Xenopus tropicalis: one gene and its partners. The protein of the gene in region 1 interacts with the protein of each later gene in a biochemical or structural test. Links are inferred from orthologs where the notes say so. Each region holds a gene or a part of one and is shown in the gene's direction. Other genes may lie near its edges.

What was found. The genes of interacting proteins can lie anywhere in the genome.
Region 2: the proteins of fos (region 1) and ddit3 form a complex in vitro, tested with the Homo sapiens proteins (2 studies listed by BioGRID and IntAct, with this or other methods). The link is inferred for Xenopus tropicalis from reciprocal best matches to the Homo sapiens genes FOS and DDIT3.
Region 3: the proteins of fos (region 1) and runx2 form a complex in vitro, tested with the Homo sapiens proteins (2 studies listed by BioGRID). The link is inferred for Xenopus tropicalis from reciprocal best matches to the Homo sapiens genes FOS and RUNX2.
Region 4: the proteins of fos (region 1) and atf2 form a complex in vitro, tested with the Homo sapiens proteins (3 studies listed by BioGRID and IntAct, with this or other methods). The link is inferred for Xenopus tropicalis from reciprocal best matches to the Homo sapiens genes FOS and ATF2.
Region 5: the proteins of fos (region 1) and runx1 form a complex in vitro, tested with the Homo sapiens proteins (2 studies listed by BioGRID). The link is inferred for Xenopus tropicalis from reciprocal best matches to the Homo sapiens genes FOS and RUNX1.

What each region holds. Positions count from the first base shown.
Region 1 is NC_030684.2:82,309,800-82,313,807, reverse strand, and holds the start of fos (proto-oncogene c-Fos), read left to right. Parts: upstream 1-1,208; 5' UTR 1,209-1,293; coding exon 1,294-1,437; intron 1,438-1,926; coding exon 1,927-2,151; intron 2,152-2,268; coding exon 2,269-2,376; intron 2,377-2,578; coding exon 2,579-3,208; 3' UTR 3,209-4,008. UniProt on the Homo sapiens protein: Nuclear phosphoprotein which forms a tight but non-covalently linked complex with the JUN/AP-1 transcription factor. In the heterodimer, FOS and JUN/AP-1 basic regions each seems to interact with symmetrical DNA half sites.
Region 2 is NC_030678.2:140,584,251-140,588,452, reverse strand, and holds the start of ddit3 (DNA damage-inducible transcript 3 protein), read left to right. Parts: upstream 1-1,402; 5' UTR 1,403-1,506; intron 1,507-4,202. UniProt on the Homo sapiens protein: Multifunctional transcription factor in endoplasmic reticulum (ER) stress response. Plays an essential role in the response to a wide variety of cell stresses and induces cell cycle arrest and apoptosis in response to ER stress.
Region 3 is NC_030681.2:147,664,074-147,668,373, reverse strand, and holds the start of runx2 (runt-related transcription factor 2), read left to right. Parts: upstream 1-1,500; 5' UTR 1,501-1,651; intron 1,652-1,836; 5' UTR 1,837-1,914; coding exon 1,915-1,972; intron 1,973-3,153; coding exon of another isoform or gene 3,154-3,176; exon of another isoform or gene 3,177-3,239; intron 3,240-4,300. UniProt on the Homo sapiens protein: Transcription factor involved in osteoblastic differentiation and skeletal morphogenesis. Essential for the maturation of osteoblasts and both intramembranous and endochondral ossification.
Region 4 is NC_030685.2:64,415,398-64,419,481, reverse strand, and holds the start of atf2 (cyclic AMP-dependent transcription factor ATF-2), read left to right. Parts: upstream 1-1,284; 5' UTR 1,285-1,441; intron 1,442-4,084. UniProt on the Homo sapiens protein: Transcriptional activator which regulates the transcription of various genes, including those involved in anti-apoptosis, cell growth, and DNA damage response.
Region 5 is NC_030678.2:13,898,239-13,902,508, forward strand, and holds the start of runx1 (runt-related transcription factor 1), read left to right. Parts: upstream 1-1,470; 5' UTR 1,471-2,357; coding exon 2,358-2,627; intron 2,628-4,270.

The sequences.
Region 1 (4,008 bases):
CTGGACTTCAGTTTCTTCCACACTCCAATAACATATACAAAGAATTGGCGTCTGATAAAATTTGCGCTATTCTGTGTGTACATAAAAGAGACCTTAGATTGTAAACTGCATTTATATGGGAAATTATAATAGCATGATAATGATAATAACCTTGTGAAAAAAATATAAGCACTATATATAAATGATAATAATGCAAGATGTTTTGCTCTGTAGTGCTGAGCCAATGTATTTGTATAATACACTGAGCAGTTTGCTATTTTTGTTTCTGGAGCTGAGGGGGTCAGCGCAACAAAGATCAATATTAATCTCTGTTATACAGAATAGCTGGAGGCATATGGGGCACAGTGTGGTGGGAAGCTTGGAAAGGGGTCCCCAGGTGAAAACCAGGAAACCAGTGTAATTTTTACTGGGGCCCACAGTTCTTTAGTTAAGCCACTTTCATATTTTACATAGGACAAAATGTAATTGTATTATAGGCAGAACAGGGTATATGAATTATACAAATGTATCGCTATTCATTTTATAGATAAACGAAAGTGACTTGCATCATACATGTATACTCTACAGTCTACATCATTAACATGCAGAGCAGAATTTAACTGTACAGCGTTTGCCTTTTATGTTAAATTGCAGTGTATACCTGTATTACATAAACATAAAATTGTATTTTTTATTAAACACGGATACCGCGGATATTGTTTTCAAAAGGGCTGCGTAACCTTTTTCCACTCTTCAGTTTTACCTTTCTCCCAATTCGCACCCTCAACCCCTCCCTTTTTGTGTCTGTCTTTGCTTGCTAGGGCTCTTCCCGGCAGCCCTACCCCTAGCCGCCTCAAACCGCCCTCAAACAGGATGTTTTCCTTATAAGGATATCTGCGTCATTTGGATTCCCGAGTTCGGTGAAACCATTGGGTAAATCCGAGGGGGGAGACAAAAAAATAAGCGTTTGTTAGGTAATGCTACCTTGAATATTCATTTAGGTCATTGTCAAGAACTGAAGAATATTTGACATTCAGCACAATTAAATAGAAAACGAAAGCCCCGAGAGTTGATACTAGAGTTGCTCGTCCCTTTGAATAGTGGTAGGGTCTAACTCGTGACGTAGGCTTTGAAAAAAAGTAAAAAAAAAACCTCTGACAGGGTATAAAAAGCTGGAGAGGAGGCAAGTTCCTTCAGACTAATTGCTTCATCGTACGGAGTGGTTTGACAGCTTGGTGAGCCAGGACTGACGGTCTTTCTCTGTCACTTGCTACTCCCGGAGCTGGTTTTACATTCTTACCCTCAAAGGGCACCATGTATCACGCCTTCTCCAGCAGCACCGAATATGATGCAGCTTCTTCCCGTTGCAGTAGTGCCTCTCCAGCCGGGGACAGCCTGACCTACTACCCGTCCCCTGCAGCTTCCTTCTCTAGCATGGGGTCACCTGTTTCTCCACAGGTAAGTCATCTGATATATGATTTTAAGAGGGTGATGAAGTGTTTGCGGGTGGCTTACTTTACTGGTTGTATGGGTACAAGTAACTGGGTTTAGACTTGGCACCCGAATATCCATAGTCACTGCTCCTGGGACTAACACCCAAATCCTGGTTCATGTTGTAGCCCTGACTTCAACAGGGTCTTTGCACTCTCTTGCCCCTCCCCCCACTGTATGTGTAAAGCGGTTCCATTGATAAAAATCCAGAGTTCATTCAGGAGACTCCAGAGCTGTTCCTGCGTCACTAGTGACGGCGGAGCTATTTCTGTCATACTCGGGCTCGTGTGCTAGGATTGGAAATGCGGAACCCGGGTGGGATTATCAATTTCAATGGCTGGGTTGTGTGTGTATATTTGTATAGATACACATAACACTTATTGTGTGCAGTATTGCCGATTGTATACGTATTTTCTCTTCACTGATAGTCTCCTATTTCTACTTATGTGTTTTTAGGACTTCGGTGGTGATTCAAGCAGCAGTTTTGTACCCACAGTCACTGCCATTTCCACCTCACCAGATCTTCAGTGGCTTGTACAGCCAACCCTTATTTCTTCTGTAGCCCCATCACAGTCTCGGGCACACCCTTATGGGTCCACACCAGCTTACAGCCGATCTAGCGTTATGAAAGGATCTGCTGGAAGAGGTCAGAGCCTGGGAAGAAGAGGAAAAATGGAGCAGGTAACTGTCAGACCTTTGTTTTCCTTTAGTTTCTGCAATGCAGGTGTAGGTAGATGTTGTTTATCTATAAGCTACTTGTTTATTTATATTGACAGTCTGTCTTTTCTCTGCTTATAGCTTTCTCCAGAAGAAGAAGAAAAAAGGAAAGTAAGACGAGAAAGGAATAAGATGGCAGCTGCCAAGTGTCGTAACCGCCGTCGGGAGTTAACAGACACCCTTCAAGCGGTAAGTAGGCTACTAAATAGGCAGTAGTTTATATAAATGTTAAGATTATATATTATATATATATATAATATATATATATATATATATATTAGTTTGACTATATGCAGAGGGATGGAAAACATAAATGGGATCTATATTGCTCTCCATTCTTGGAGGATTTGATTGTTTGAGGTTCTTACTATACCACCTTCTTCCCTTGTAGGAGACTGATGACCTGGAGGACCAGAAATCTGCCCTGCAGGCAGAGATTGCCGGCCTTCTAAAGGAGAAGGAAAAGCTGGAGTTTATACTTGCAGCTCACAAACCAGCTTGCAAAATTCCACATGATCTTGATGGAGCTTTTCAAGACTTGACCTCATCTCTTGATCTGGGTCTGATTTCAGAGACCCCTTGTTCTTCCAGCTCTCAGGAGCCTGTAGCAGAGCCTCTGTTTCCCATTGGCCTTTCTCAGTCTTCCATGCCTGAAAAGGAGAACACCCAGCTGCAAGTCTCTATGGAACTCAAATCTGAACCACTGGATGATTTTCTGTTTAACTCTTCTCACACAGGTGTAACTGATGCAGCACGTTCTGTGCCAGATGTAGATCTTACTAGCTCTCTTTACACATCAGAATGGGAGCCACTGTATAGCACTTTATCTGCAGACATGGAGCCTCTGTGCACACCAGTTGTTACCTGCACTCCAACATGCACTACCTATACAACATCATTTGTCTTCACATACCCAGAATCTGACCACTTCCCCAACTGTGGAGCCGCACATCGGAGGGGAAGCAGCAGCAATGAGCAGTCATCAGACTCTCTAAACTCTCCCACCCTTTTGGCTCTGTAATGCTGAGGGACATTCACACAACCATTGTGAGATGCTGCTGGGGACTTTTACTTGTACTTGTTAAACTGGTTTATTTTGGTGCCTCCTTCCTTTGACTCCAAAATGCAATAAGGCACCATATGTGGCTTTTACTGTCATGCTTTTGGAACTTCTTCTTTGCTGCCATAAGTGTTCACTGTGCATGTCAATCCAAAAAATATGGTACTAGCATGTGACCTAGGCTCAGATATAGGTAATGTTTTGAAAAGTGTAAATATCACAGTGAGCACTGTACTAGGCCAAGAGTCTCCTACTTCCCAGTCATCACAAACTAGCACTAGATCCCTGTTAACTTATATGGTTGTGTAGTTGACTCCTACTTCCAACTGCCACTGGAGCCTGATACCTCTTACTGATCTGTAGCACTGGCATGGACTTGTTGTGAATTCTGTTAATATGTAGCATGATGTATCCCATACATTAACTGCTAGTGGCAATGACCTACGTTAACCTGTTTAGGTAATTGTGATATTGATAAAAGCCTTGTGCTGTTAGCTTGGAAATGTAGTCTAAGCTAGCTCACAGGAATGTTATGGTGCTGGCTGAGTACAAGGTGTTTAGAGGAGTTAGCTCTAAATATCCTTGTACCAGCCATGATATTCATTTGTAAGTCAGATATATAGATCATATATAGATATCCTTTTAAGGGCCGGACACATGGTGAACGTGCTGTTTCTTCCGTTGATTGTAATACTGTCTTTCCAAGTTTTCCATGAAAACGTTGATTTCCTGTAGATGGTTTTTGTTTTATTTATTATGAT
Region 2 (4,202 bases), on another chromosome or scaffold:
CCCATTTGCCCAATAGCACTTTCTCACTAGAAGAGGCGCCTTTCCAGTTTAATAACCTCAAATTTGGTTAAATAAATGAATGATGATAATGGTGCAATGCACAACAATTTTAGATACAGCAGAGAAGCAGCAAATTTAAAGAGTGGTGGTACATTAAAGAGTTATACATCTATACCCAATGCCTAGCACTAGCCTCAGTAATTAAAACAGTCAATGCTTAAATAACTCGTTTTTCCATCAGGAAAACCACCATCCCACCTGTTACTGCTTCAATATTTTCACCTTAGTATTTTTGCTATTTTAAATTGATGCTGTTCAGCTAACATCCGCTGTCCATCTACATTGACACTATCAAGTGACTTCATTTGACCACATTAACTTCTATTACACCTAAGGATTCCATTGTTTTTCATGATTTTTTTCATACATATTTTGTACAGGTTTTTTAATATAGACTTTTCATGGATTTTTTTTTTTTAAATAAAGATGTATTCATTATGTACATGGCAAACTGGAATAAAATTATTTTTGAGTAATGAACTGTATAATTAGATACATTATAAGGTGGTATTAAGAAGCATATTTATTTCAGTGTGTAAGCCAACATGACAGGTAATGTTGCCCATGGCAACCAATAAGCAATTAGATTTTAATAATCACAAGTTAGAAACAAAAGCAAATATCTCATTGGTTGCTATCGCCTCAAGTCATGCTGGCTTATACACTATAATAAATATGCCCCTGTGTGTTTTAGTTGGTATACTAGCCAGCTACATTTCTAAAGTGAAATTGCTTTAAATAATTGGAACGATAAAAAACCCGGCACCTTATACAATTTTGGCGTTAGGATTAGTCGCTAGTTGTTTCTAGCAACGCAGGTTTTATATCTCTCTGTATTACTTCTTTAGGTTTAGTTCTCGCTATTTATGTTGCTTTCTTATGATAAAACCAGGTTGCGGACAAGGTCGTACAACCTGAAGGTGAAAAGCAAGCTTGGAAAGTCCCTCGGGTTGGGGGAAGGCTTGGCCCCAGCTTGCCAGCTCTTGCATCACCCACTATGACTCACTCTCGTCTCGTGATTTCCAACAAAACACTTCCGCAACACACCCTCTGACTGCACAACAGCATACCCAAGTGTCTCCGCCTTTAGGCTTCCGGTTGACGGGCCTCTGCGTTTCATACCTCGTTATGCTTTTTCAGCTAGCCTTCTAATTGGCTGTAGAAGGCACCTGGGGGCTGGCAATAGAAGTCCTCCCCGGAACGTCTGGCTAGAGGCGAATGAGGAAGCAATAGGATAAGGGTCGTGTACGCTAGATTGGGATCGACGATCTGATTGGCTAAGGCAGCGAGCTATATAACGCGGCTTCTTCGCACATATCCTCAGTCGTTTTGCTGAAGACGCAGACGATGTTTAACATGAGCCCACAGTCTCTTAACGTGCAACCACAAACCAGCTCACGCTGTCGCTTTATTTGTCAAAAGAGAACAGACCCTACGTGGAGAAAGGTATTGTTATTTCTTGTGTTCATATTGATTACAGCGAGTTTTGGACATAGGTATCGGCATCTCCTATGTGTGCCTTTAATCCGGCTCTAGTAAGGCAAGCGCACAGTGACGTTTTTTTGTGACCATTTTATTATTCCAACGCTGTGCAGAGCCTGAGTCTATAAGATGAGAGATGTAGTTCATCTTTAGTGTTGATACTGGTAAGACTGTTCGTTCTGGTATGGTCCATTAGGGGAGATGCTCTATAATTTCTTTAGAGTCTGTTTTGTTGGTTGGGGCGAAATGTATGTATGTATGTATGTATGTCTTTATTTATAAAGCGCTACTTATGTACGCAGCACTGTACAGTAGAATACATTAATACAAACAGGGGGTTAAAGATAATGGATAAATACAAAGTATAACAATAAATACAAATAAATACAAGGTACAGTTGCAATAAGAGTCAGAAACAAGATGAACGAGGTCCCTGCCCCGTAGAGCTTACAATCTATATGGGACCAAAAGGGCAAAGAGTGCTCAGTTCTAGAACCTACGGCATCCCAGGTATCTGAGGCTTATGAATGAGTGGAGGCAGGGCCAGTCAGTGCTGGTTAAGCCTGTCCCAGAGCCCACTCTCGCACTGCTGCCGGTTACAGAGCCCAGGATTACAATACAGCGGTGGCTCCCCCTCCCTTCCTCCCTGTTGTCTCTCAGCTGGAGCAGCCAGGCAGACACAGCAGCCCAGCAGCAGATCCCACTCTCCAGCTGTCCGGACCCCAATGTGACTCCCATCACACAGCAGCTGGCATAGATTAAGCACTAAAGCTGGCCACATGGTGGTCGCACAAAAGATCGTTCCAACCCTCCGCTGACATTCAGGGCTGAAACGGCAGATATGGAGGTACAAACAACAGGATTTCTACCTCCTTCTGTCGATTCAGCCCTGAAGGCAGATTTTGCTCAGACGCCTTCAATGGCTCCCGACTGGAGTGTCGACCGATATCCGCAACCTTCTGCGATATCTGTCGCCTTGCCGAGTTGCCATACACGCACCAAATATCGTATATTATCGGTGCGTGTATTGCCTGACTTCATAGCCATTTAACTTTATCCCACTCCTGGTGCTGCTGTAAGGCAACCAGGGGGGTTGAAATCAGCCAAGGCATTTATTAAACCCGATAAAGGAGAGTACAGGCACAGACCAGTAATAAAATGCTTGTCCTACAGGCATATTCATTTGCCCTTTTCCAAGGACTGTCTGTTAATGATTCCTTATCTCCTAAACACTGGAGCATACCATATACATCATTTGATAGAGCTTGTCACAGAATAGGACAATGGAACACTGCTGGCCAAAACAAACGGCAATTCAGTTATCCAAGCTGTCGTGATTTCTTATGTTTCCATTTTCTGCTGCTCAATTTCCTCAATTTTCCTCTCACGGGATGTAAGTTGGTGATCCATTACCTGCCCTATATTATTGTAGATGGTAGAATCTAAAACTATAGAAATTGCACATGCCAGATGAAATTTAGGCTTCCACCCCCCTGGCCAAACTGAACTAAAATATTTAAGAGCAAAATTAAAGTCATGGGCAGAGTCTTTAACAATTAACTAAATGCTCTTTCTGAAGAGTCCAAAGAGCTTGAATTGACTGCTTAAATCTGCCTGTGTATGGCCACCTTTACTCACAAAATGGATATTACAAGGCACCCATAGTTAAACAGGTGCTGAGAGTGACTGTAGAACCAACAACAAGATGATAAAATGAAACCAATCACTATCTTGTTTAATGTCCATTTGTTTAACTGAATATAAATACAGGCTGCTTTCCTTCAGGGCAATGTCACAAACATTTTGTTCCCCTTTGCTAAATCTGCGCTGCTCCAGCTGACAAAATATCCCAAATTTCCTTCCCAGCGGCAGTAATATGAATTAATGGTGGGAAAACCTAGTGAAGTTTTGTTGCTTGCAGTAGAGCAGATTACAGCGGCCAAAAAAATCCCTGTATAATTCCGCTTGGGTCCATTCCCACACTAAAGGTTCCCATACATGGGCCGATTGTAGCTGCTGATATTGGTCCCTTGGACCGATATGACAGCTTATCGGCTCCTGTAGGGGCAGAAGTGACGGCCATACCCGACCGATATCTGCCCCAAATTGGCCATATATCGATCGGGCCAGTTAAAAGATGCGGTCCCCGAACTGACTGCCCCATTGCCGCCATTATAATTAGATTGTTTGGCCCCAGAGCTAAACGATTGAATTGGCCTACATGTTCCCTGATATTGCCACCTGTAGGTGTGGATATTGGTTGAAGATCTGCTCACTTGGCGACCTCGCCAAGCGAGCGAATCTTCACGTGTATGGGCACCTTTTAGATCTGTGTTCGGTTAAGGGTGTTTAGAGGGGAATTACCTTTTTTTTTAACCGAGCTGGCAAAGTTTTATAGTTGTTTTATGGTGCATGTTGTGTGAAGGTTATTTGTATAAAAAAAAAAAAAAATAAAGACTAACCTGTAACAGTAACCAGTCTCGAGGCCTATTGTATTCAAGATCCTAATTTAGTAAGCACTACCTGCAGATTGGTTGCTATGGGTTACTAGATCTAGTTGCCATTTTGATTACATTGCCTCCTTATTGCTTAAGATCTCACTAAGACTTAAGCTGGCCAAACCAGTACTACATTTTGTATGATTTTCAGTCCATGTGTGG
Region 3 (4,300 bases), on another chromosome or scaffold:
TGTATCGGTTATTGATTGCTTTATATGTTACTCTGTATGTCTCCTTGTAGACTGTAAGCTCTTTTGGGCAGGGCTCCCTTCCCCTCTTGTATCGGTTATTGATTGCTTTATATGTTACTCTGTATGTCTCCTTGTAGATTGTAAGCTCTTTTGGGCAGGGCTCTCTTCCCCTCTTGTATCGGTTATTGGTTGCTTTATATGTTACTCTGTATGTCTCCTTGTAGAGTGTAAGCTCTTTTGGGCAGGGCTCCCTTCCCCTCTTGTATCGGTTATTGATTGCTTTATATGTTACTCTGTATGTCCAATGTATGAAACCCACTTATTGTACAGCGCTGCGGGATATGTTGGCGCATTATAAATAAATGTTATTAATAATAATAATAATAATAACAACAACAACACAAAATAAGGCCCTAACCGCCTTTACAACCAATTGTAATCACCCCAAGTGGATCTGAGCTTCCGTCTCCCAACAGTCACCCCCAAGGGAAATGACGCACCCAAAAATACCTTGCCATCGCTCTGACCAAACAGAAGAGTGACTAAAGATAAGAATGCTAAGCAAGGAATAGGAAATAACACTTTAAGATATGTAAAGTGGATTGGTGGCACATATTTGAAGATACACATAAAACAGAAATACTGAAACCTTTTTGGGATGTAAAAGAAATAAAAGATTATAATTATCGTTTATACAATTTAAAAAAAAATAAAATAAAGATTCCAGGTAATACAGCTTTAAACGTCACTTGGCCACAAAGCCAGGTCTGCCTGCTGTGCCCGAGTTTATGTAGACAGACTTGATTTAAACCTCTGTAAAGGAATCTCCAGCCTAGAGCTTCTGTGACAGCCAATTACACAGCAACCGGCTAAGCAGTTAGCTACCAGACTCCCAGAAACGCAGGAGAGAGGCTCTTACAATGAGTTACAGAACCCCAATCACAGGAAGACAAGGAGCAAGCGGAATAACAGAAAGGATCCAACCACCCAGTAAATCCAAAGCAGACCTTGCTCCACCGACACAACCCAAAGGAGGAGAATTATTATAAATCATCGCTGTTGTTGGGGAATATTAGGCATCTGGCTGTGCCAGTTTCACTCACTTTTCCTAGATATAATAATAAACGCAGAATAAAAGTCAAGGAAACAAAAAAAAAAAAATATCTGACATGAAGTTTGAAGGCTGAAGAGAGTATTGTACAATTTCACTTCTGCACTCCATATGCTTTCACCGTACAGGAGTCTTAAGCGTTTGCTGTATTTGTACTCTCTCCAAATCCTCATGAGTCAGAAAAATTAAAAAGCTATATCCCTTCTGGATGCCAGGAAAGGCCTTACCACGATCCTTTTGTCAAAATATGAAGAAGAAAAAAAAAAAGAGAAAGCCACACTGAAAGTCTGTCCCCCTTTGAGAGCTCTGATGTCATCAACCACATGATACTGCCTCTCCAGTAACGTTGCTTCCAAAAAAAAATAGGAGTTTTAAAGCTTTTGCTTTTTTGGATTGTGTGAATGCTTCATTCGCCTCACAAACAACCACAGAACCACAAGTGCGGTGCACGACTTTCTCCAGGAGGACAGCGCGGAGCCTTTGGTTTTTAAATGGTTAATCTCCGCAGGTCGCTACCAGCCGTCGAGACCGTCGCTGTCGGTAAGTGCCTCTTAAACCACAATAGGTGCCGTAATAATAGTCTCTTTTTTGGGCTGTGAAATACATATATGTGCTAGGATGGAATAGCTAACTCGAAATAGGGGGGGTATAGACGACTATGCTATAGGAGTAGGTATCATCTGTCAAGTGGAACTATCCATGGTGACCACAATCTCTATTTTCAGTCTGAGGAATATTTATTGCCGGGACATACAAAAAAAAAAAAAAGCGGACGGGCGCCACTCGGCAGAGGAAGAAGGACGATGGCGTCCAACAGTCTGTTCAGCTCGGTGACACCATGTCAGCAAAACTTCTTTTGGGGTGAGTACCTTGAAATTTGGATATGGGGATCATTCGGAGTCAGATTGGTTTGCTCTCATATAGACCGAAGCAGCGTTAACTGGCAAAATGGCGGGCCGCGAGTGACTGGTGCTGAGCCGGAGAGGCGAGCCACAAATTGGTCCATCGCCGAAAGGCTATCATTAGGCGAAAGAGGAAACCCTAGAGAGTTCAACACATAACCTCCACCTACCTAACTCAAATGGGGGGGGGGGGACATAGTTCACCCCATTGATGCACCAAAAAGAAAAAAAAAACCTAGACTGCAACATCAAGTCAGGTGTATCACCTGGAAAGGTATTTAAATACACAGAGGGCAGGGCTAGGTACAGAGCGCAGTCTGTTCAAAGTCACCTAATCATTTCAGTGAGCAGCTCACTTGAACTCCCTTCCTACTTCCCGGCACCCCACTGTTTAAAGGAAATTAGGAAAAATAGGATTTAACCGCAGCGGAGTATTGGATGCTCTGTGTGCTGCAACTTGGCAGGACATTTAGGGAACAGAAGGGAAAACGCAGGAGTGAGCAGTTATATGTGCTGCCTATACATATGTATATAGATTCCATTTATTTCCAACTACAACGTGGGGGGCTGATAGACTCCAACCTGTGGGTTTGATAGCGGAGACACAACTTTTTTTAAAAAAGGGCATCCAGTCTCATAGCTGCACCGTAAACACAGATGTCCGCACAACAAGACAGTGTAAATAAAGGGAAATAGACACACAGCAAGTCATACACAGATTCACCTATCAACCCATGCTACACAAGCCGAGGCGTTGAAGGGGTTAACTCAATCCCTCAAACACTGCGCCCCCGACCCAAAGCACACAATCTCATCGTTCCCGCTATGGGGCATGGCAAAATAAATCTGTCAAAAGCGATGCTAGAATGAACACCGTGCGTCTGACGTACTCGGCAAAAAGTGTTAGCCCGGGTGAAACGCACAAGGTGAGCGGAGCGCGCTTCACGCTGAGGCTAAGGCATCATTTTTTTTTCTGCCTTGGTCTTTGCTTTTAGAAACATCAAGGGAAAAAAAAAAGTTTTTATACCCCCCCCCCCCTCTTTTTTGAGGCATAATTGAGACAGATCTGTATTCATTCTAGCTGAATCATCCTTTGACACAGAGCGGCGGCGGCACTGCTATGTGCTTCTGAACACTTACAACATTTTCTGAATCCAGTCCATGATGAGAGGCTTGTGTTGGTACTGGAAGGGAATAGGTTCTCCTCTTTGGCTGCTCAGGGAAAGATGCTAACCGAGCTCTTTACAACAGTGAGGGGCTTGCCGTTCCCATACCTGGTGGTAGGAAGCTCATTCATAGCCCTCCCCTGCTTCTGCTTTGCAATTGGCTGCCTCCAATGGCATTTGAATAGTGAAGGGAGAAGCGTGGCTTGTATAAAAAAAAAAAAGAAAAACCACAACATTACATAGGCCTGCAAAATCTGAGGTCTCACAATCGGTGTTAATTATACCATGGAGAGTCGGAATGAAGGGTTTCTGGTCCAGGTGGGAATTTAGCGAGATTTACCAATGCCCCGTGTAGTGTGAGACGTTGTGCCTCCTGTCTACAGACTCCATATACCTATATATATATATATATATATATATATATTACATATCTATCTATTCACACACCTTTTTCGATATTGGGACTGGCCGTTTGACTACAAACGAGCTTCGCTAATGAATCGGTGCATAGAGGGTAGCCAGACCACATTATCCCTGTGTTTACAAGAGGAAACACAGTTTACATGTATGGGGAGTTTTGCTTTCTTTGCTTCCACTTCCAAAAGAGATTAGGAGAAATTCTGGCTGTAGTCATCATCATTTGCAGGGCTGATGGCTGAATTTGCCCCCGTGGAGAAAGGTTCTGTGTGGGCCGAGACATTGATCTTTAAAGCAGTGAAGTGCCTTCCACTCTTGGGCAATTTCCTTGTCATTTGAGGCCCATGGCATCTGGAGGTCCAGGGGGCCTTGGTCAATTAGATTGTTATCGGTCTGGGACAGGGGTGCCCAATGAACAACAGCGCAGATTTAGTTGCACGTCACACAAGTGGAGGAGGATAAAAACCATAGAACCTGACTAGTTGGTCTATATAGTCTACTCAATGCTAAATACTATTCCAATGCTCTCTCTTAATCCTGTGCATGTTTTTATTTCTTCACTGTATTCTTTCCATTCTGCTGGAAGGCAACTGCACATATAACTTAACTTTCACATTTTTTTTACCCCTCACGCTTTATACTGTGTATTAGAAATGTAGTTACCTTCCTCTATAGGAAAAGGTTTCCCTCCAGAACTCACATTC
Region 4 (4,084 bases), on another chromosome or scaffold:
GTAATGGTCAGCAGCCTATATAGGAACACGTTTTACAGAGTCCTCCATTCACATGTCCTTTGACTTCTAGTTCAAAGTGTTTGGGTTTCACATAGAGCTCTGCCATAAAATTTCTGCAGCCCTGACTAACTACTGTTACTGAACAACAGATAACATTTTGCCAACTAAGGTGGATCATGCTGTCAGTACAACATAAACTTTAAGATTTGATTGACAGAAAAGCATTCCAGGACAAGCTTCGCCTGAACGCAACAGAAAGCACCTATACCTACACCTACTTAGCCCTGAGCAGGGTTCAGCCCTTCTAGGTGGTATGTTTGTAAACACTGGAAGCTTGAAGCTCTGAGAGCCCCATGGCCCTGGTTGCCACTGTGGGACTGAGTGTGGAAGACAGGCAAAATACCAATGTCAGTGACCACTCTGCCTGTCTTTCCCCTGTAACATGGTGCTGAATTAGGGCAGACTGAATAAGTATGGGAAACTGGGTTCTTGCTGGTGCTTAATGACCAGCAAGGGAAGCCACCTAACCAATCCTGAGCCTTTCCTGGGCTGGTCTGGTTACCAAGGCAGCAGCATCTTCCTCCTGCACATAGAGCTGTGGACCAGAGCTGCTTGCCTCTCACAGCCTTAAATCAGTGCACCAGTTGTCTCACTGTGTTCCAAATGCATATTGCTCTTACCTTTAAATCATATACATATATACCATATATATTCCCTTGCTGTGTGAACTATGCAAGCATCCTGATATTTGTCATTTTTATCCCTGTCTTTATCAAAAAAATGTTGCCACTGTCTCTTTACTAAACATTAAGGAGTCACTCCATGTCCATTCAGACTTAAACAAGTGACCTTTTACAGTGTTTATGTCACCATAACACAAATCTGTGTGTGAAATTAATACTGTGACAGAATCTTCAATAAACAAAAAAACACTAAAATGATGGCAATTTCACTTGACCCTGGTTTGAACAAAACCCCTTTCCCTTTTAGTCAGACTGCGATATGAGGCTCTAAGGGTGTCAGGTACTGCTGCAACCAGGAAACGTAATTTTATGTTTGCTGGCACAAGTCTGAACTTTGATCCGGGAATAGAAATGACTTTTTATATTAGGAGCTGAAGTGGTGAAGGGAATATCAGTCAACCAACAAGAAAAAAAAAGTGTTTTTATTTAAGTATTTTTTTATTCGTTCGTTAACAAAGGAAGGCAGTGCGATCAGAAAAAAACCAGATTGAGAGTTGACCTAACACGACTTCCTAGCAGCCACCGACTGCGTACAACTCAGTTACGCCCACTCATCCCTCCCACAAGCGGCTGCGTAATGCGTCACTGCGCTTGCGTAGAGTCGTGACGCCAGTCTCGCGTGAGGAGACGCGGTGTTGGGCTTTTCTGTGGGACTGGGAAGCTGCTGGGAGCCTGCACTTGACAGCTTATCGGGAGGTGTAAGTAGCGTTGTGGGACTGCGGGCTGTGTTAGGAAAGGCTGGACTGTTGGGCAGAATGCACTTACATGGATTCCCGGGCCCCCCTGCTGTCAGTGAGCTGCAGACTTGGAAAGGGAGGGCGGGAGCTATGGTGCCTGGATGTTATTTACGCTGCTGCTGCTTGTTTTGTCACAGAGGTTCAAGTCCCTGTAAAGCCATTGTGGCTCTTCCGAAGTCTGCGGCTCACTGACAGCAAGGGTCCGATAATCCAAGTAAGAGCAGCACTGCCAACCCCCCTTAATTCCCAAACCCACTGGGTCTGGGACTGCCCCCCCCCCCCATGGGGGCCCTGTCTGTAAACCACAAAACAACACCACCTCAGGAGATCTTAAACACAACAAATCCCTCACCTATAGAAAGAATCCTACCAAGATTTCTGGGGGTGGTGTAAGTTGTAGTTCCACAATGTGTGGGGTGCATGACTGCCCAAGTATCCTAATATAAGCCCTTGGGTGCAATGTCATGGAGACTGGCCTTCACCTAATGGCATCCTTGCACTACAGTACATTCCTGAGAGGTTCCTATGGGCTCCTAGTGGGTGCAGCATTCTGCACCTTTGCTCTAATCCTGTTTGTTGTATCATTAGCCACTTCATTCCTTTTGTAAGAGCTTGCATGGATATCTTGACTCGATTTTCATGTGACCGATTGGATACAGTTTTACAATGAAACATGTTTTCCCTGTAATAATCAAATGTGATTGAGTTAAATGAAAATCGCATACAGTTTCAGCCGAATTTCGGGAGATTTGTGTTGGAAATTTCTGTATAGCTAGCCATAAACAGAAATAGTAAAACGAGATTTAACTTGTTTGGATTCCTGGCCATGCTGCCTGCCATTGACTTGAATGGTGCTAGTGGTAGGTGTATTTTGGTTCTGTGTTTTTGGGCTATGAAATAAAAACACAACAAGGGGTATCGTATCTTAAATCACCTTGTGCCCCTTTACTGTTGTTCTTGTTGGTTGGGAAATGCTTTAATGAGCAGGAGTAGTGTTTGGGGGGGGATTGAATCTGAAACAATCTTATATAAGATAAGAATGGGAACTGTCAAGCTTTCAGTCATATTTAGGGGAGCAAATGGTAATTCACCCCAATTCTCACCCTAACTGACCTTCAAACTGAGCCACCCTCACTACTGCCTCAAGCCCCCCCCAGAAAGGCCGGGTTCCATAGTATGTGAACCACTGCTATAAGGTATCACTGGGTCGGGGAAAGGAATATAAAGAAAAGAAAGAATAATAACTTGCGTCTTTCAAAGTGATTATAACATGGATTGCTGTGTTTGTATGCACGTATTGCTGTGACTATTAGGGCTGAACTACATAGAGAGATTTTGTTGGATATGGTGATTGCAAACAATCACATCTTATAAGTCTTATGTAGTTGTGCGGGTCTGTCAGTGGTGCAGCTGGTATAAAAGTGGAAATGCTGAGCTTTTATCTGACAAGTAGTCGGACAGACTTTTTCTCATTGAAATACACTGACATATGCAGATACATGAAAACAAGAACCCATCTGACTTTGAGAATCTGGTTTTGTAACATCCCACATAATTTAAACATTTTTAGAAAGGTCTTTTCAGTACATATTTGACAGCATACTGGTCTACTTTATATAGGGTTAGTTCACTGTTAAACTCTTTCATGTAGACAGGAATATACTGAGGCAATCTGAAATTGGTCTTCAGTTTTTTCCATCACTACTTTAATTTGGAATTTCAGCAGCTATCTGGTTGGTAGAATCCAATTTGCCCTAATAACCAGGCAGTGGTTTGAATGAGAGACTTGGATATGAAAAGGAGAGTGCTCAAAAAGATACTGTATATACTCGAGTATAAGCCGATCCGAATATAAGCCGAGGTACCTAATTTTACCTAAGAAAACTGGAAAAATTTATTGACTCGAGTATAAGCCGAGGGAAATGCAGCCGCTACTGCAAGTTGAAGTGATATCACCCCCCTCCCAGCAGCTAATTAGCAGAACAATGTGAAAGCATCAAGATAGCAGCTCCCAGTATATATCAGAATAGTACGCAATAGTAAGAAATCCAAGTGCGGCTTGGGATTCCCCCAGTTACATGGGAGTAGGAGAAACAATAGGTTACCTGAAAGCAGTCCTAATGTGTAGCGCTGGCTCCTTGTGAAAGCTCAGACTCAGGCACACTTTACTGCTGCGCTGCAAGTTGGAGTGATATCCCCCCTCACTCCCAGCAGCCAGCAGAACAGTGGGAAGGGAGCAAGATAGCAGCTCCCAGTAGGTATCAGAATAGCACTCAATAGTAAGAAATCCAAGTCCGGCTTGGGACTCCTCCAGTTACATGGGAGTAGGAGAAACAATAGGTTAGCTGAAAGCAGTTCTAATGTGTAGCGCTGGCTGAAAGCTCAGACTCGGGTACAATGCACTGAGATGGCGCCTACACACCAATATTACAACCAAAAAATACATTTGTTGGTTCAAGAATACAATTTTATTTGCTATGTAAACAGTGTAATTTAGATCTAAAACTATACCATAAAAATCAGTATTCCTTTAAAATTTACTTTGGGTTGTGTTAGAAAGTGCTTGGCAGCATCTATTACACAAACTCCAGCCTGGGTCTCCCA
Region 5 (4,270 bases), on another chromosome or scaffold:
TTTACTTTTAGTGATTCAGTTATACCATGTGATACACTGAGACAGAATGATGCCCCACCCAGGGGTAAGTGGCCAGCTGGTCACACTAATGGCCTGGCACCCTAGGTGGCTCTGTGTCCTGCCCTCAAACTGACCTGCCCTTCTATCACTTTGCAATTCTGTGCCTGGGGGACGAATGTAACATAGGGAACCTGTTTGCATTACAACTGCTCCCATAGTCCCCTGTATAAACTGTGGCCCCTATTGCGGGGCAAGATACACAATCTATTGGGGACCATAGATAAATAGGTGCTTTAGGGGCACTGTATAGAGGCTGGGGTGATGGACAGGCACAATGTACCCCAATACCCCAGAGTGGAGCATAATACCCAAACTATAGGGATAGAGGCTGGGGTGATGGACAGGCACAATGTACCCCAATACCCCAGAGTGGAGCATAATACCCAAACTATAGGGATAGAGGCTGGGGTGATGGACAGGCACAATGTACCCCAATACCCCAGAGTGGAGCATAATACCCAAACTATAGGGATAGAGGCTGGGGTGACAGACAGACACTATATACCCCAATACCCCAGAGTGGAGCATAATACCCAAACTATAGGGATAGAGGCTGGGGTGATGGACAGGCACTATATACCCCAATACCCCGGAGTGGAGCATAATACCCAAACCATGGGGATAGAGGCTGGGGTGATGGACGGGCACTATATACCCCAATACCCCGGAGTGGAGCATAATACCCAAACCATGGGGATAGAGGCTGGGGTGATGGACGGGCACTATATACCCCAATACCCCGGAGTGGAGCATAATACCCAAACCATGGGGTTAGAGGCTGGGGTGATGGACGGGCACTATATACCCCAATACCCCGGAGTGGAGCATAATACCCAGACCACAGTCTGGGGTAATAGAGGCGCACTACAGGGGGCCCTGTGGGGCAATAGAGAGGATGTGCATGGGGGTATAATGGTGCCAGCACTGCCCTGTCCCTTGGCCAAATGATAAACCCATTATAGGCTGCTGCTGCTTTTCCCTCAGTCCCATCACCTGTGGCTGTGGGGATACGGTGGCCGGGCAGGACATTAGTAGCACATAGTATCCCCCCCTCAGACTCCTGCTGATTTGGGGTTAGGGAAAAGCGGACCGGCACTGAGCCTCCCCACGGTACGGACTGTAGTTCACCTGCCATGGGAGAGTGACAGGCAGCTCCCATACACACAGCGCCCCCCCAGTCCCACTCCCCAGGCCGGTAGCTTGAGGCGACCTATTAGCCGGCAGCTCCCATACACACACAGCGCCCCCCCGAGTCCCACTCCCCAGGCCGGTAGCTTGAGGCGACCTATTAGCCGGCAGCTCCCATGACCCGGGCCGCGCCCTGCCTCAGTCCCACGGAGCCGCCTGATTGGCCGGCCGCTTCCCCATATGCAGATGAGCAGGGGATGCCATTCCTCCGCACTGTTACAGTAAAAGGCAATAGATTTGAGGCAGAAGCTCATTCCCACAGCCCGAGAGGGAAGGAGAGAGCGCTCACACGCCGCTTCCCATCCCCACAGCAACTCACCAGCGGGGATACATTACCCTTACTAGCCGAGTCAGGAGTCACAACTCGCACTTCCCACTCTCCGTGACTCTGAGCAACTCTCTGAGCACCATGCGTGGGACCCGGCAGCCTGCAGCAGCTCTAATCTGTCCCTGGGAGGGCAAGAAGCTCCTGTAGGGGCACAAAGGGTTAATCTGAGCACATACCTACCTATGTGAGTCACCCTGCCTGATGCGACTGCCGCTGCTGTGTGTGCCCACAATACAAAGCCACAGGAAGAGAGTGCGGCTAACCGGCCCATGTGACATGCCAAGGAGAGGGGCCCTCAGCTGCCTGGCACCCAGTCCTGCACCCACTAATTCTCACTATTCCTAGGGCACTGGAGGAACCAATGTCTGATTATTGGAGCTAAAATCCACCCCAGCATCTACTATCTGCCCCCTTTACTGCAAAGGAGTTGGGGCAAAGTTCCCTTCAGCCCAGAATCCCCCATAAATACACTCGGACTTAGGATATTAGTTGCTGGGCTGCCCGGTATTGGCTAGACTACCCCTTTGCTCCCAGAAGGCTTGGGCCAAATCGCTGAAACTTTGGAGAACTTCACTTGGCATATATTGAATTATGTTAGTGACCACTGACTCCTGAGTATGATCGCTGTCTCTTTAGCCTGATCGCTGTCTCCTGTGCCATTGACTCCTGAGTGTGCCCACTGACTCCTAGGAGCGATCGCTGCCCCCAGGGAGCGATTACTGGCTGCCAGCGCTGTTGCGACTCTCCATTTAGAAGGTATTTACTCACCAGGCTTGTTGTGATGCGTATCCCCGTAGATACCAGCACCAGCCGCCGCTTCACGCCGCCCTCCACCACTCTGAGTCCGGGGAAGATGAGCGAACCCATCCCGCTAAATGTCACGGACAGCAGCGCCGCCCTGGTGGGCAAGCTGAGAAGCACAGACCGGAATATGGTAGAAGTACTGTCCGATCATCCCGGGGAGCTGGTCCGCACAGACAGCCCAAACTTTCTCTGCTCGGTGCTGCCCACACACTGGAGGTGCAACAAGACCTTGCCCATCGCTTTCAAGGTAAGACCCTGGCACTGTGACTTTATTATCACTCTCCTTGTTCCTAAGAGCTTGCAATCTACTAGCAGGGAGGCAAGAGGAGCTCTAGGAAGCGTGGGTTGGGCGCAGAGTACGTGTGGCACTGTATCATTAAATTATAATAGTTGTAGTTTTAATGGCATTATTATTATTCTCACTATAATTGAGCTGTTGTGCCATAGCGCCAGCCAAGAATTCCCAGCGCCAGTGATACTGGGTGCCTGTGGCACAGCCATTAAGCAGGTATGCTGCTCTCAGGTACTAGCAGTTATTATACAAAGGTTCCCCAGCATCCCCAACAGGCAGAGGTGGTTCTTATTCATGGAATTCAATAGAAGCAAGTGGGTCCCCATAATGAGCAATGTGCCATGAAACCCAACTTATAGAAATATTCCTGCCCTTAGTAGTAGTAGTACGTACTACAGAGCAGATTTGTTCACTGACAACAGCCCCAGCAAGATTGCTGGGAGTTGTAGTCCTGTGGCTTCCTAGAGCCGAGGCAAGCGGCTTGCGTGTCAGACAGGCTGGCATCTGGCGAACAATGGCACGTTTAGTGCCCACAGATAAAAACATGGTTGAAATGCTTAGTACAGCCATATATTAGCATTCATTAACACTCCATGTATCCATTGGTTGAGAGAGGCAAAATATAGGCAAAATGTGGCCTTTCAGATGTTGCTGAACTTCAACTCTCAGAAGCCAACACACTTAGTAGCCCTAAAAAGTACTTCCATGGGCTTCCATAGAGAAAAGTGGCCAACAATCCTATTTTGGGGGTAACAGTCCTTCCTTTAATAGTAATATCAGGGGGAATGTTACCCCCAAAACAGGGAAAATTATTTGAAATAGTTCCCCTAAATGTCTCAATACATTACAGCGATCAAACCAAGGTACAGAATCCAGGGCTTTTACTCTATAATCCCCAGAAGTGTAATTATTATTATTAACACTTATTTATAAAGCGCCAACATATTCTGCAGCGCTGTACAATAAGTGTAATAATATAAATGTAGATGTATTGTGCACGCATGTAAACATGCACTTCCTGTCCTATCCCTCTAGCAAGGGGCAGACGCATGTATGAATAAGATGTAGCTCACCGGCTCTATTTGGAAATGTTGCTAGAGATAATACAAAACATGTTTTTTTTTTTGTGTGTAACTCGTCTCCCAAAAACCTAAACTGCACCCGAGGCTCAGTCTGCACCTTTGAACGTTTCCAGTAAGGAATATATTCCTGTAAAATAATTCACTCGTTAGATCTGACTCACTGTCCTGAAATGTGTCTGGGCTCACTCTTTCAAAGGGGACTGCGAATTTATAGAGCTGCTGTCTCCTTTATTGACAGATACAGGGAGCTCTCTCCAAAACTCACTGGCCCGATGGCGTGAAACTCTCATACACATAATAACAGCTAAATATAGGGGTTTTATATATATATATATATATATATATATATATATTCTAGCACTATGGTCCAAAGCCTCCAGTGTAGGGTGAAAGCCATTCTAATCGGCAGCCATTATACTGATTTCTGTCTGAATTTTGCTTATACTTTCAGATAATAAAGGGCAACTTCACTGTCCCAGGTTTAATAAATATTCCCTATTTATCATGTTTTATATA